Linked DNA regions of Nothobranchius furzeri. The protein of the gene in region 1 interacts with the protein of each later gene in a pairwise test. Links are inferred from orthologs where the notes say so. Each region holds a gene or a part of one and is shown on either strand. Other genes may lie near its edges. The genes, in order: znrd2 and cct5.

The links.
Region 2: the proteins of znrd2 (region 1) and cct5 interact in binary tests that used the Homo sapiens proteins (3 or more experiments, as listed by UniProt). The two-hybrid records come from large-scale screens. The link is inferred for Nothobranchius furzeri from reciprocal best matches to the Homo sapiens genes ZNRD2 and CCT5.

The regions. Positions count from the first base shown.
Region 1 is NC_091750.1:56,222,001-56,226,555, forward strand, and holds znrd2 (protein ZNRD2), read right to left. Parts: upstream 2,881-4,555; 5' UTR 2,802-2,880; coding exon 2,786-2,801; intron 2,452-2,785; coding exon 2,300-2,451; intron 1,759-2,299; coding exon 1,674-1,758; intron 1,532-1,673; coding exon 1,092-1,531; 3' UTR 803-1,091; coding exon of another isoform or gene 790-802; 3' UTR 417-789; downstream 1-416. Other genes in the region: leucine repeat adapter protein 25-like, read right to left, coding at 1-166, 790-802. UniProt on the Homo sapiens protein: Might play a role in mitosis. Antigenic molecule. Could be a centromere-associated protein. May induce anti-centromere antibodies.
Region 2 is NC_091747.1:54,098,017-54,102,581, forward strand, and holds the start of cct5 (T-complex protein 1 subunit epsilon), read right to left. Parts: upstream 2,822-4,565; 5' UTR 2,668-2,821; coding exon 2,563-2,667; intron 2,193-2,562; coding exon 2,132-2,192; intron 2,001-2,131; coding exon 1,836-2,000; intron 1,435-1,835; coding exon 1,236-1,434; intron 1,111-1,235; coding exon 918-1,110; intron 825-917; coding exon 675-824; intron 586-674; coding exon 466-585; intron 389-465; coding exon 203-388; intron 126-202; coding exon 1-125. Other genes in the region: mtrr (methionine synthase reductase), read left to right, coding at 3,515-3,658, 4,220-4,373, 4,536-4,565. UniProt on the Homo sapiens protein: Component of the chaperonin-containing T-complex (TRiC), a molecular chaperone complex that assists the folding of actin, tubulin and other proteins upon ATP hydrolysis.

The DNA.
Region 1 (4,555 bases):
CTCCTGTTTATCGCGGTGGATCGGCTGTAGGAACGCCGAGCGTCCTCACCTGGTAATAAATAAATGCTGCTCTTTGTGCAGATGGGGGCATTCACCGGTGGTCCCCTAATGAGACACAATGCATTAATGTCTGCCTTCAAAACCTTCCTGATGCAGCTAATTAATCCTTATGTCAGATTAATGAAGACACTAGCCAGTTACTTAGGTGGTTTCTGAACAAAGCCTGATGGTTTAAAACGCAACAGTAATATATTTTCTGGACTGGATATAGCCGATTTGATCACTACATTTATTTATTTTTTTTCTACTAGATTTGCTCAATTTGATCAGTTCACACGTTTTTTATCTTGTTTCTGTTTAAATTAGGACATGTCATGTAGTCCAAACACAAAATGGCAGTGAAATAATTCAACAGCTTCATCACAAACACTTTATATAAGAAAAACTGTCAGTTTCCAAAAGGCTTCAGATTAGCGAGTTAAAACGAAGGATTTACATGAAAGTTGCACATTTGAGAATAAACTTTTTATTTAACCACCTATGTGCTAGCATGTAAACCGGCGCCCTCTGGTGGACAAAATGATCATCTACAGAGCAGAACTGAATTTATTCTAAGTCACATAATTAGAAAACGGATCACTAATTTTTTCAAATATTAAGTCCTAATAATGTACAGCGGGAAAGGTGTGTATGTTCTAGATTAAATATGAAAATGAAGATTCTGAGTCTCAATTTAAAATTTGAACTACAAAATGTCCTCACAGACACACTATGTTATTTACATCAAACCTTTTTTACTCATCAAACGATCAAAGACAACTAAAGAAAGTCGATCTGCTTTGACAACTGATGAATGTTTGTACTCATAATTTACAGTTTGACAAAAGCAACATACTTCTACCATCGGCACACCTACACTTTTTCAAGAGGAACTTGAGCACATTTGAATTGTGATCCAATTTCCATTTAATTTGAGCTTTAAGCAAAGAATTAGGCAGAGAGATAAAGCCGACCCAAAGTTTGTACCCTACAGCAGCCAGAACAAGAAAAGATATTCCCGTCACTCCGTAGAGTCAACCAGTCTCCTGTGGTTACTGGCTGAGCTCCTTGAGGCTGCGCAGTGAGCTGGCGCAGCTGGTGATGAGGCTGCAGAGCTGGATGCTTGCCTCAAGTGAGGATGAACTCTGTAACTGGGTAGTGGCCCAGCGAAGTTTAGTAAGAACTGCTTCCTCGGCTTCCTGCAGCACAGGTCGTAGAGCGGCGCTCTGCGGACTGACAGGGGTACGAATGGGAGCTACGCTTGGGCTGGAGACAGGAGCTGAAGGAGATGGGGCGGGAGGTGGAGGCAGGAGGGCTCTTCCTCCAGCAGCAGCGCCCTCACAGTGCTCTGGTCGGGGTTGAGGAACCGTCACCCCTGCCTGACTGCTGCTGCAGGGTGTCTCGTTGAGTTGAGAGGCTTGGGTCGGTGGAGGGGACTGAGCTGCAAGCTGCTGCTCTCTCACCTGAGACAATGCAGCCTGAGCATTCAGAGCTGGAAAACGGAACAAAGAGGTGGGACTGAAATATGAACTGGAGAGATTAAATCCTAAAGACACCACAGAGGAACCAGCTGCCCTTTTTTAGGGCCTAATGAGCTCCAAAATCAGGGGAGAGCAGACACAACTGGCGCTCACCAGGGTTATCTTTGTCGATATCAGAGTCCAGCTCCTGACACGAGACACAGTAGTTCTTCTGCTGCTTGTCCTGTAGAAGAATAGTCTGAAAACACACACACGAATACACACAATCACTTATATAGCCATAATTATGTTTTATAATATTTGTTACTACTTCAACTTCAGGACAAACTACCAGAGGCCCAAAAAGAACAAAAAAACACCACTTGAAGTCAGTCAACAAAAGATGTTTGGACCTAGAAAACAGTGACCGGTGTTTAGCGCCATCTCTTTTCCTCTGGCAATGCAGGTTCCTGTTTCCGGCCAAGGACAATCGCTGATGGGAGGGGTGAGCGTTCCTTGACAGTGTTTGAGTTTAAGCTTAGCTTGTTTTGAAGATTTGCTTTTACCTTTTTTAGTGTGTCATTACAACAAAATGATAACCGCAGTTCTCTTAAGGTAATTTGAATAAGTCAGTAAGTAAACATTTTGCAAAAATACTTTCATAAAACAAAAGATAAATTCCTTATTAATGCTTAGGCTCTGTCCTCAGCAGGGAGGCCACAGAGAGGTGCAAGATTGCTGTCAGGGTGGCACTGGCCCACCCTGGACCCACCCCAGAACCGCCTCGGGCCTGAACTCACCCCGCAAGCATCGCAGCACTCCCCCAGCATCTTGTAGCCTTTTAGAAGGTAGTCTCCCATCAGCTTGCTGATTTTATCTTGCCGTTCCCTTCGAGCTTGGATCACCTTCATCTCCGCCTCACATGGAGGTTCCCACTCAAAGTCCTCTTCATCTGCAGGTCAGCAACAACGGAGTAAATTAACTGAATCGCACCAGTGCAAAGCTACACAACCAGAAACACAGCTTTAATATTTACGCGTGGTGATTTATTTTCTCGTTGTTTGGCTGAATTTTTATCAAAAGGGGTCAGGAAATGACAAGTTAGCCAGAAATACAACGCTGTTATCGTGGAGATAACACTTTCCCCGGTGGCGATGAAAAATATTACAATAAAAATAAAAATACCGCAGAAATCACCGCTTAAATGAGTGCCAAACGACGTAAGACACTAAAACACACAGTGAAACGGCAAAGTTAGCAAGGAAATAACAGTTAAGTTCACATACCTCCATTCAAAGCCATGTTGCTTCAGTGCTACACGTTCTGCGTGATGACATCAGGCGCTGTCGTCGACTTCCTCTTCGTTCATCAAACTGAAACCATGCAGCGGGTTAGAGCGCCCCCATGTGGGGGTGATGCGCATAGACATGTAGACACCCGGCGCTGGAGAGCGTCACTGTGTCGCCGCCATATTGGATGGGTCTCCTTACTGTCCAAAGTCAATGCAGAGTGGACAAATTTGCCCGTTTTTTCCAGCCTACCATAGCTATGTGTATATAAACCATCGACATATACATGATATAAACACTAGTTGGTGAAAGCGAGAGTTGAGGGCGTAGCTAAACGGCGGCCATCTTACCCCAGACAACAGACCTCTGCTCTCAATGGTAGCAGCTGGAAGGTGAGCGATCAGCTTGATGTAAAACAATCTTTACTCGATTAAATATTAACACATTTACAAGCGATTTGCCTTGATACAAACCTTAGAACACATAGGCTTGAGATAACATACTTGCAAATGTTAAAATAAACGGTTTTGCTTTTGAAAGTGACTTAATTGTGAACCATGTGCCCCACCTATAGGCTATTTGCGTGTTATTCAGGTTGAGACCACAATAAGTAATTTATTTGGTTTTACAAAACCAATAACGATTTTACGACAGCCAATTATTTTTTGTCCAAATGGCTGTGTTTGGGGATTTATTTTTTTATTTTTTTGTATTGGCACTGGAGCCTATCTCCAGCAGTCAACGGGCATACAGGAGGGGTACACCCTGGACAGGTAGCCAGCAATATATATATATATATATATATATATATATATATATATATATATATATATATATACATACATAATTTAGCCTTAATCTATTCCTGTTCTGTGAAATAGGTTTTGTTTAGAGATGTTTCAAGATTATTTTGAGGTAAGCCCACATAAACAGAACACATATGCAAAATGTGCACCCCAAAAAATAAGACAACCAACATCCAAATTACATCGGTCAGCTAGAATGGGCCGCCAGCAATAAAATGTAACCCAGCTAATTATTTTGTATTTTCACTATTTCTCGACCTATTTATTGACTTTCTTTTATTCTGTCATGAATCGTGTGTTTGTCATGTGTTTATATACATATCTATGATTGCAACAACTGGCGTACTATTGAAAACAGATCACATGGGATTACTATGGACCTTTCTAGCCTACCTGATGGAATTTTATATCTTAATTTATTTCATCTACTTTTAATTATTATACCATACCATGTGTCTGATTTCGTGAAAAAAGCTTGATAAAATGTGATTTCAAGTTGGATAAGCACCTTCCTCAGTAGAAATGAATGCACTGGGGTGAATGGAGGCCCATCTAAGATGGCATCCGACGTTTGCTTATATATGCCTGTGGTGATGTATGTATGTATGTATGTATGTATGTATGTATGTATGTATGTATGTATGTATGTATGTATGTATGTATGTATGTATGTATGTATGTATGTATGTATGTATGTATGTATCTATCATCTATCTATCTATCTATCTATCTATCTATCTATCTATCTATCTATCTATCTATCTATCTATCTATCTATCTATCTATCTATCTATCTATCTATCTATCTATCTATCTATCTATCTATCTATCTATCTATCTATCTATCTATCTATCTATCTATCTATCTATCTATCTATCTATCTATCTATCTATCTATCTATCTATCTATCTATCTATCTATCTATCTATCTATCTATCTATCTATCTATCTATCTATCTA
Region 2 (4,565 bases), on another chromosome or scaffold:
TGGTTGACAGCCAGGGCACAGGCTATCTCTGAAGCTCCGCCCCCATACACAATACGGTTATCTTTCACCAAATTGCGGATTACACACAGAGCATCGTGGAGAGCACGCTTGGCTTCCTCAATGATCTAATGAAAAGGTTTTGACCATTAGACATGAATGTGATGAAAAAGGACAAAAACGATACAGCCTTGTGAGAGCGTACCATTTTGTTGCCGCCTCGGATGAAAATGGTTACAGCCCTGGTGTTTTTGCACTCCTGGATGACGAGCATGTGATCCTTGGTTGTGCCAAAGGAGATCTCCTTCACCAAGCCAGCGGTTCCGAGCTTCTCTGGTGTCAGCTCGCAGAACCTCGGCACAATACGGCCTCCGGTAGCTATAGCAATCAACTAACAAAACACCAAAGGGTGAGCTCGTAGCAAGGGTAGCTCATTCTGACCTTTCACATGCAAGACTTCTACCTCACCTCAATCTCAGGCCCTCCAACCCAGCGCACAGCAGGCAGCTCGCTTTGCAGCAGAAGATGGTTGGCCTCATCATCAAAGCCCCACTGGCAGATGGCCAAGTTAGCACCAGTGCTTTTGACCTAGAATTAAGGTGTTTTTATTCTTCCTTGATTTGCATGAACCACAAAAAGTCATTTTTGTAGCATCGGGATTTGTGAGAATTACTAACCTGCTGGATCATCTCCTCAAACTTCTCTTTTTCATAATTCTGGAGGGCTTTGTAGTCCTCAACGGAGGTCACATCCAACTTGTGTTTGGTCTTGGGTTTAGGAGGCTCAAACGGGCAGGTTAGAATAGCGATTTTAACATCTTTGAGAAGCTAATTGAAAAGAGAATTTGTTAGCTCAGGCACGTTAAAGCATCACAAAAATGCAGCAATATTTACAACAAACATTTATATTTTAAATCATACCTTGGGCATCTGAGGGTGGCTGAACTCCTTATCCACTATGACTCCCTTAATGAGCTGTGTGTCCTCCAGCTTTCCTCCCACCTTGCCCTCCACCTTGATGAGCTCAAAGTCTACATCCTTCCTTTCCATGTCGGCCACAGTGAGGATGGCATTCACTGCAATTTCCGCCATCTGTCTGTGGCACCGGTTGATGCTAGATAACAACAATAGGATTAAAAGGTGATTTGTCAAATCTCAATAACTCACTTAAAAAGCAGCCAGGTCACAGGGGCACAGGAAAATGGCATCAACAACTACTAAAATAATAATTTAATTTACACTTTTGACCCCAGCGTTGTCATGGCAGTCTGAATGAGTGGTTCGGTGTTGTTGGGATCGAAGGGGAAAGTTTCTGCTATTTTGTCCAGCTGCTCTATGGCTATGCGTGCAGCTTGGTCGTAACCATCGGAGATCCTGATGGGGTGGATTCCTCGGTCCAGCAGCTGCTCGGCCTGCTCAAGCAGCGATCCAGCCAGCACTGAGGATGCAGGAAAATAGGTAAACAGAGTCAGAAATGCATTAGAAGAGCAGTAGGTAGTGGAGGTAGACCGTTATGGGGTTTTCTTTCCCCAATACCAACAAGTATGAGTCATTGCCGATACGAGTTGTCACTTTTTGGCCGATATCTAGACATTTTCTGATTCATTTGCATGCTAAAATGCCCCAATAGTAGCAGCACACAAATCACTTTTAGGAACTCATAATTTACCTGCCAAAACCTAATTTTATGCACTTTACCGAATTAAAACTATTTAACTAAAATAAAAATATCAATACTAACCAAGAATTCTATATAAAATTAATTAACACAGAACATATATCACATGTTCATCTACAAAAAGCATTCACACAATGTTCCTTCTGCACACGTTTACACACCAACAACTCCAGTGGTTCCATCACCAATCTCATCATCTTGGGATTTGGACAGTTCCACCATCAGCTTGGCAATCTGGTGGTCCACATCCATCATGCTGAGAATGGTGGCGCCATCATTAGTGACAGTTACTTCTCCATCCTTGTCAACCATCATCTTGTCAAGACCTAAACGGTGACATGACATGGTAAACCTGCTGTGTTTGTAACTAGATTAAATTAATAATCTAATGGTCACACAGACTCTCGACATCTCAGCAGTTATTCAAGTGAAATGACATCACTGCACTGGATCGTACCGTTTGGACCCAAAGATGTCTTAAGCGTTGATGCCACTGCCTTGGCTGCCATTATGTGAGACTGTAAAACAAAACAAGTGCATATCAAAACACATTTTACCTCTAAAAGTCACCCTCAAAAGGCATGTAAACAGCGTGTCGGCTGTATGGGTGATGTACATGACCATGCAGGGTACAGCCCTATGTAGCACCTCCTACTAGATGAACGCACAGGGAGCACATGGGCCTCTTCTTAGCATAGCTAACGAATTCATTTCATTTCCTAATCTAATTCAGCTTATTTTGCACAAACATCAGAATGTGTTGGACAAATTCACTCATGCAACACAAAGCCGTATGTATAAATTCGTGTTGTAACCAAATTAAATATCTAATAGCAGGTTTGCTTGTTAGGCCATCACGCTACATGTATGCTAGCTAGCTCATTGTACCTTCAGTGCATCAATGCCCGATAAGCGTGTCTTCTTGTCTTGGTCTTTAATGATGATGAAGGGCCTTCCATATTCATCAAAGGCTAATGTGCCCAAAGTGGACATGCTGATTTGGAGTTTAGAACACACAATCGGCGTTTATCTGACAGAATAACGCGTTTAATGATGTGATCCTGGAGTGTGGCTGAACTGCAAGCCGCACGGATCTGCCGGGGACTTCTGGAAGGCTCCACGGGTGGGGAGGGCGGAACCAAATTCAGTTCAGCGTGTTTTCTTCCATTCCTGTCACCTTTTTTATAAACGACAAAAGGCTTGAACAACTATATCATAAATTAGTCACAATCATACAAATTAATATCATTGCAACTGACAACAAATTTTAAACAAGGGGAACGTCTTTGTCGTAACTTGGTTTGTTCCGATCACGCGCAATCTCAGTTTGAGCTCAGATCTCGCGTGAATTCAGTAACAAGACTAATTACCGGTATGTTGGCAAGGAGTTGACGAGGTGAATTTTCATACAATTTAAAAAGGTAGAAATACTTTATTAACTTTAAACTGCTTGTATTTCCTGTGTATTTATTACGGACTAATGCCAGAAAACACGATTCTCTAAAGAAAGTGAGTCGAGTTTCTCGGAATTCCGAATTAGTTTACGGACCAAATATGAAATGTTATGTTCATAAAGTGTTCTTGAGTGAAAAACGTCCACGTGCGCTGTTTTGGTAACTAGTCAAAGTTTGACGCAACATCCTGGTACTGACGGTAATGGTGGCGTAGCGGTGTGTTAAACGTGTTTCTGTGGCAGCCTGCCTTTTATTTGTCCAAGTATGTTGGTAAGCTGAGATGTTTGTTAAAATGCAGCTGATAATTGATTAGTTAGTCTCACTATTTTACCTGTGGCGTTTTAGAATTGCCTAAATATTTATCTGTTTATCTGTTTCCCCCCAGCATGCCTTGTGAGGTGAAGCATCGATTTGTGGTGCTGTTTGGGTCCCAGAAGGGCCAAGCTCAGGCTATAGCTGAGGGGATAGCCGAGGAGGCTGAGGAGCACGGTCTGACTGCTGATCTCAGCTGCTTGGACCAAAATGAGAAGGTAGATGTTAATAAATTTACGTGAAACAGACTCAGTAGCCGCAGGAATTTGCCAGGGGCCTCGTGTATTAGGACGAGTCTAGCAGGTCAGACTACTCATGTATTAACACTAAATCATCGTAGCATGCACCCTTTTCCCACACCTATTTCACGGCTGGCTTATGTGCTTTTCTACCTTTACCTGCGTGTTTGGTGACACTTAATAGTGGGCTTGCAGGGAAACAGTGAAAATAAATATTGTTAACACCAGATGCACAAAAAATAAATAATAACTTCACGTGTTGCAATTACATTGTTGGATAATAAAGCATGCATATTATGTGTCCAGTGTTCACTTATGCTCAATATCACCTTTGATGGATCATATGAAGGAATTGTGCGTAAATCCGTACATACATCTGGATTAACTTTTGCATACAGTTTATTCAAGCCTAAGTCATCTTCTTGTAAGAAATCCACAGAGATCTTTCAACATGAGGTCCCTGAGGTAGCGGGTTTTAACTGAATGCATTTTCACTTGGATTACATAAACCCAAGTAACTAATCATGTAACTGATTCCAGTACAATTTGGAGACGGAGCATGCCCCAGTGATCTTTGTTACGTCCACCACTGGAGACGGAGAACCACCAGACAATGCCCTCAAATTTGTAAGGCGGATCAAGAAGAACACTCTTTCCTCTGACCACTATAAACACCTTTGCTTTGCACTTTTAGGTAAATCTCAAAAGCAGGTCAAAGGTCATTTTTTTGTGGTGTACAAATAGGGGCTAACATTTGCAAAAGAGGTTTTAGTAAATTATTACAACACTCTTCTGCACGCTGGTGAACATTCTGAACGTTTGCTGGTGAATAATCTGTTTTTCCTCTCTGCCTCAGCTTTAGGAGACACCAATTATGCAAATTTCT